Kluyveromyces lactis: one gene and its partner. The protein of the gene in region 2 purifies or fractionates together with the protein of the main gene of each other region. This does not show direct contact. Links are inferred from orthologs where the notes say so. Each region holds a gene or a part of one and is shown on either strand. Other genes may lie near its edges. The genes, in order: RNA15 and CLP1.

Evidence for each region.
Region 1: the proteins of CLP1 (region 2) and RNA15 purify together in Saccharomyces cerevisiae (affinity purification with mass spectrometry; 8 studies listed by BioGRID, with this or other methods). This does not show direct contact. The link is inferred for Kluyveromyces lactis from reciprocal best matches to the Saccharomyces cerevisiae genes CLP1 and RNA15.

What each region holds. Positions count from the first base shown.
Region 1 is NC_006042.1:864,172-867,211, reverse strand, and holds RNA15 (Rna15p), read right to left. Parts: upstream 1,503-3,040; coding exon 726-1,502; downstream 1-725. Other genes in the region: transcription elongation factor DST1, read left to right, coding at 1,909-2,787. UniProt on the Saccharomyces cerevisiae protein: RNA-binding component of the cleavage factor IA (CFIA) complex, which is involved in the endonucleolytic cleavage during polyadenylation-dependent pre-mRNA 3'-end formation and cooperates with the cleavage factor NAB4/CFIB and the cleavage and polyadenylation factor (CPF) complex.
Region 2 is NC_006039.1:859,993-863,486, forward strand, and holds CLP1 (cleavage polyadenylation factor subunit CLP1), read left to right. Parts: upstream 1-1,632; coding exon 1,633-2,946; downstream 2,947-3,494. Other genes in the region: TUM1 (thiosulfate sulfurtransferase), read left to right, coding at 421-1,320; APC5 (anaphase promoting complex subunit 5), read left to right, coding at 3,109-3,494. UniProt on the Saccharomyces cerevisiae protein: Component of the cleavage factor IA (CF IA) complex, which is involved in the endonucleolytic cleavage during polyadenylation-dependent pre-mRNA 3'-end formation. Associates with HRB1/CF IB to form the cleavage factor I (CF I) complex.

The DNA of each region.
Region 1 (3,040 bases), on a different chromosome or scaffold from region 2:
GTCTTTCGTGAGACTTTACGGCTGCCAGAGAAATATGCCATTCGAATAAGAACACTTATTTTTCTGGTTGCTTAAAAATCTCGATGGTAACTGGTTCATGGCCTAGTCCGCTATGGACGGTTGTATTTCCTTTAGCCTTGCTACATATGAAGCAAGGCTGAGAAAGCTTATTCATTTGTCACAAACTTGGTGGCAGAGAAACGATGTTTGCGGCAGTTGTCATTTTACAGCAGCAGCATCATCATCAGATGGATATCATTGACGATTAACTTGAAAAAATTGTGCTATACTTGACTCGGATTATTGCTTTCCACACATGAGTACTCTTCTTATCCGTTAAAGCCTCCACCTTAGTGTCTTTCAGCTCATTCTGGGTTGAAGTTTTCACAAATGTTAATAGGGTAGACGCTAGTTAATTTCATTTTCTTGGAGCTGATACACGTGACTTTACAGAGTTAATTAATTTGAATAGATACTGCATACGTGGAGTAAGCTTGGTTATTAACCCTTCTCTTCATTATTTCCATAAAATTATACTGCTACTTCTGTCTTACCGTCAAGCGCATTCTGGCTCATTGAAGGTATATTTTAGAGACTGAACTTTACTTCATCCGAAAGTGCGTATTCAATTTGTACATTCTACACCGTTTCATCTATAAGCATTAATGAACTTTATAGTTGACGCATGTTCATTATTTTTGATTTTCCATCCATGAGACGATCTATTAAAGATGACCGAATTCACCTTTCATTGCCCTCTGTTTGAGTTCCCAAACTGCCATCTTTTCGTCTTGCGGAAGCATTGCTATATCTGAATCCTGTAGCTGTAGAACTTGCCTTAGAAGATCCACTTTCTCTTCGTCTAATCCGTCTTCCACTGTGTTATCAGTCTGTTCCTCTGGCCTTTGTTTACTCGCCATAGCCAATTGTGTCAATTGGTCCACACTGCACACACCGTTACTCAACAGGAGTTCCGCAATAGCATAGCTCAATTGAGGTGCCTCTTCTAGGAGTGCTACGAAAGTTTCCTTGTCGTCTTTACAGAAATGTTGGATTACTTTTAGTAGAGCCATCTGTTGGTCCTTTTGTAGCTTCCCCAATTCACTACTGATACACATTGCTGGTGTAGTCATATTGATGTTAACGTCCACCCCTACCGGGAGCCATGGGAACTTCACATCCTCAACCATGTTTCCATTCTCCTCTTCATCTCCGGGGCCAGATCCGCTGCCGTTTATGCCACTACCGGTGGTGTATCCGCACTTTAACGATCTTGAACCCAATGTATACCCGTTCAAGTTTCTAACTGCACTTGCCGAAGTTGCCAAATCTTTGAATTCAATAAAAGCATAACCCTTAGATTTACCCGTCGTTGGGTCAAACATCATCTTCATTGCCGTTACTGGTCCTATCGTCTGACATAGGTCTAATATTTGTTGTTCTGTTTGGTCATACGGTATCGAACCTAAATAAACTGTGCGCGATGGATTTCCCCTGTTCATTGCTTTTTAACTATTTCTATGATTGAAATTGGTTGCACCAGGTTATTTTCACAGCTAGCTGTCTGGTGGAAGTCTGTCTTACAAGTCCTTCGATGCTCTTAGCGGTACTTTATAAGTGTAATAAAACTCAGATATGGCTTTATTGTTCGATTCTTCAACTTTCGTCATCAACTTCAATTCTAATTTTTTTTTCAATGTTCGAATGAAATGAAATTAGAATTGAAAACTAATTAATGACTTCAAACAATCAACACTGTCCATTGTCCAAATGGTGGATTTCAGCAGGTCCTAACTCATTAGAATCTGTTGAGAGCAATATTTGCTGTGTATTATTAACATTCATTCTTCATCTTCGAAAGAAATTGATCCTGGAATATAGATAGAAACTGAGATATCTTCTGCGGATATGGAAACCAAGGACGTTTTAGAAGCCGTCAAAGGATTAGAGAAGAACAAAAATAATAATGATGTTGTGTTCAAGATTCTACAGTCATTAGATAAAGATTTGAAAGATGTTAATGAGAAGCTTCTTAGAGAGACGAAAGTAGGGGTCGTAGTCAACCAATTTAAGAAATCTTCCAATCCAGACATCGTCAAATTGGTGAAGAAGATGATTTTATCCTGGAAAGATGCTGTGGCTCGTGAAAAGAAAAGCAAACTAAGCAGCAATTCCTCATCTACAAGTAACAATAATGGTACAAGCGGTGGAGAAGCAGTAAAGAAGGAGAAATATGTCAGCAAAGCTCCAAGAAATGCTAAGAACGACGGTGTGAAAACGGATATATATGGTGTCAAGATTAGAGATATGGCTATTAGGGCATTATATGATGCATTGGCAAAAGAAAGTGAACATCCTCCAGTAGCTATCCTAGATACAGTAATGAGTATTGAGACAGAAATGGCTAATCTGTTCAATCCCGAGTCTGACGAAAAGGGATATCGTGACAAATACAGAATAATTTACTCAAATATAATCTCCAAGAACAATCCAGATTTGAAACATAGAATTACGAATGGAGAAGTATCAGCCAAACATTTAGTGACTGCTGATCCTAAGGACTTGGCACCGGAACATTTAAAGAAGAAAATTGAGGAAATTGAGAAACAGAATTTGTTTAATGCACAAGGTGCAACTGTAGAAAGATCAGTAACAGATAGATTCCAATGTGGCAAATGTAAACAAAGAAAAGTATCATACTACCAACTACAAACAAGATCTGCGGATGAACCTCTTACTACTTTTTGTACATGTGAGAATTGCGGTAATAGATGGAAGTTCTCGTAGTTGAAATTCTCACTTTGAATTTTACGAAGATAGCCTTGGCATATGATACACTAAAGCAGCATGATGATGGCAGTGATCAAGCACTAAAACTCTTTCGTTATTTCATTGCTAGCTAGATGTGTACACATAGCATCCGCCAATTCTACATCATACATTCTTCCGGCTAACTAGTATTTCATGTATAAATGACCAAAGTTGTAATATCACAATTAAGAATCGTATCTATGGTAAATACTCTACAGATGGTGTTGAA
Region 2 (3,494 bases):
AATTGGCATATATCCATGAATTCTAGTTCGTAATATATAATTCAGAGGATTTTAAGTGTAGATACCTCTGACCAGTTAACATCATATTTTGCCAAGCAGCCCATCTCATTGCATCTCATCGCCTGAAATCAACGCTCCAAATTCCTTTTGAAATTATATCTTCAACTAGATCAGTAGATTTTAAGAGTCACGTGAACTGTAAACATCAGTTCGCGTGGTAGTCTTTCCACTATCGTGTCAAAATTAGATCTTTGACCACAGCAAAAGTAAGGATAGGAAAGGGGAAGGAACTCACAGTTACGACGTAGAAGGAAATCAGAATTTTGCACGTTGTAGTCGCATTATTTGGCTTGCTAAATTTGATTGTTATTGCTCTACCCAATTGCGTTTCCCAGATCATTGAATTGTTTTTAAAACATCATGACACTTTACAAATTATTAACACCTAAAGCATTCGCAGAATTATTATCCAAGGAAACTAAGCGCCGTATTATCCCAGTAGATTCCACCTGGTATTTACCAAACTTGAACAGAAGTGGGAAGCAAGAATTTTTAGATGAAGAACGTCTAAAAGGAGCTGTTTATTTTGATATTGATGGTGTCAAAGACATGAAATCTGAATATCCTCATATGTTACCAGATCTCAGTACTTTCAATAAATCCATGAGTGAATTGGGACTGAAGAAGGATGATATTTTAGTGGTTTATGATAGAATTGGTAACTTTAGCGCACCTAGATGTGCATGGACATTAGCTGTTTTGGGACATGATCCCGTATATCTCTTGAACAATTTCCCTGCCCTGAAACTGTCTGGGTACCCCGTTGAGACTTCTAAAGTGACAAGTTTTACTCCATATGAAATGAGTGAATACGTGTCCGATGTTGATTTGGCAGAGAAAGAAACAGTTTCCTTTGAAGATATGCAGAAATTGGTGTCGACAGGTGATATTAAGAACTACCAGGTTTTGGACGCTAGAAGTCTTCAAAGATTTACTGGTGAGGCGCCAGAACCTAGACCGGGCCTCAGCTCTGGTCACATTCCTGGCGTTCAGCCATTGCCCTTCCTAGAGGTCTTGAACAGTGATAAAACTTTTACTTCAGATCGTGAGGAAATGCTAAAGAAAATACAAGACTTCGTCTCGCAAACCGGCAATGAGTTTGAAACCGATAAACCAACCATTGCAATGTGTGGTACTGGTGTCACAGGTGTCATAATCAAGACTGCATTAGAGATTTCAGGTGTCAAGAATGTCAGACTCTACGACGGGTCTTGGACCGAATGGGTGATGAAAGATGGAGAAGTGGCTAAAGGAAGTTAAGAGAAATACTTCGATAGAATGAGTGATTTCCCATACACTGAATGTAGGGAAGATGTGAAACATGCAGTACTACCTGAAAGAACAGTAGCTCTGCATCCCTGACACTTGAAAAGAACCCTGCGCAAATCAATAATTGCCCACAATTGGTTTATACTATATTTTCAGTATGTATGCTAGGAAAAATCTGTAATGATATATTGATCAAAATTAAAGTGTTTAAGTGTTAGAAAAGGTTTAATTAACATAGAACAAAAGGTAGATGAGCTGATAGCCCGACCATTACCACTCGCAGGAGAAGCTAGAAAAAAGGAAATGGAGTTTGTAGAATTCAGCGAGGTTTCTGAGACCACTAAGACATCGTCTCTTCCGCAGGGCCATGAATGGACCGTTCAAGTTCCAGCAGGATCAAAGCTAACAGTTATTGTGAAGTATGGGATCGCTGAGATACTGGGAACAGAGCTTGCCAACGATGTGCCCTACACATTCCAAGGTGTAATAGTGAACATCTATGCTATTGAACGATCTATGATCGAATGGAAGTGTTTAGAAGAGCTTGAGCCAAAAGTTTCGGAAAATAAGTCATATCATGCCTACATATACAATCTAAATTTTGCATTAGAAAGATTACGACTCTCTAGTTTCAATGGACCTAGAGTACTAATAGTAGGTAACGCCTCAACTGGAAAATCATCGCTAGCTCAAATGCTATGCTCATACGCGTTGAAGATTAGACATTATCAACCGTTGTTAGTGAACTTGAACCCACAAGATGGTGTTTTTTCTTTGCCAGGTTCAATTACAGCGACACCCATTTCTGAGTTGCTAGATGTTGAAAGTTCTATATGGGGTCAGAGTATTACTACAGGTGCTACCAAGCTCCATAACAAGCAACCTCTTGTTAAAAATTACGGCTTGGAAAATATCAGAGATAATAGACCACTATATTTATCGACGATTACACAACTAGCATCGGGCGTGCAACAGAGATTAAAGAACGATCCAATAGTAAGAAGGTCTGGCGTAATAATTGATACCCCTAAACTTTCACATCTTGACACCGAAGATTGGTCCGAAGTTGGCCACATGATAGAACAATTCGATATTAACGCAATAGTGGTATGTGCAGAAAGTGATGACTTAGCTATCGAATTGAGTGAAGTATTCAGGACTAAAATAGGATCAATTGTAAGAATTCCGCCACCAGGTTCAATTATCGCAATTGATGATATCATGAGAAGAGCTTTACAGAGGGTTCAAATAAGAGAGTACTTTTATGGTACCACAGAAACAGTCCTAAGTCCATACACTATGGGTGCTGGGTTTGAAGAATTAACAGTTTTCAGGCCAAGAAATATCTCTGAATATGGAGAGGATAAAAAGGATGTTGATCTAACAGTATTTGACAAAATTGAAGTCAACAGCTCAAACTTACAGCACGCTATTATCGCTATCACTAATATATCTAGAAAAGAAAGCCAAGATAAACTTAACACTGCATCGATAATCGGGTACGGTTTGATCACAGAAGTGAATGATTCAAAGAAAAAACTCAGGGTATTACTTCCAGTACCGAGTAGAATACCAGATAGAGCTATGATTCTCACCGAGTACAGATACTTGGAATGATTCTTACTTATAATTCTTTCATAGTCATTGTTTACATATTTATGAAAAATGTCAACAAAATCGGATACTTTATTTAATGATAGGATATACACAAATGCGAATAAGATACACCGAAAAGGAAACTAATATATAGAAGCATTAAGATTGCTGCTGAGGTTCATTATGACCGTCGAATTCCAAAAAATTAGGGTAGTAACTGGCTATGATCCGTATGATCTCAGCTGTGTGGCGTTACTCGTATTATATTGCCTAGGGGAAATAAACTTGTCCCTCCATAACATCACACGAATATTACAAATAGTTCCAAATGATGAACTGGATAGCGTTGGGCTTCCAACATTAGAGAATCTAGTTTTATATCTCCGAAAGAACGAGGATAGTCAAACTAAGGCTTCCTTTAAGTTGATCAATCTCATATTTTCTATCTCCAGTTTTAACCACATTCAAGAATTGATTCATCATTTAAGAGATGCAATAATAGTTTCTCCAGATCAACAAGGAGTCCTTTCGAAATTCAGGAGAATTTTATGTCGTTCAAGTGTGATTTG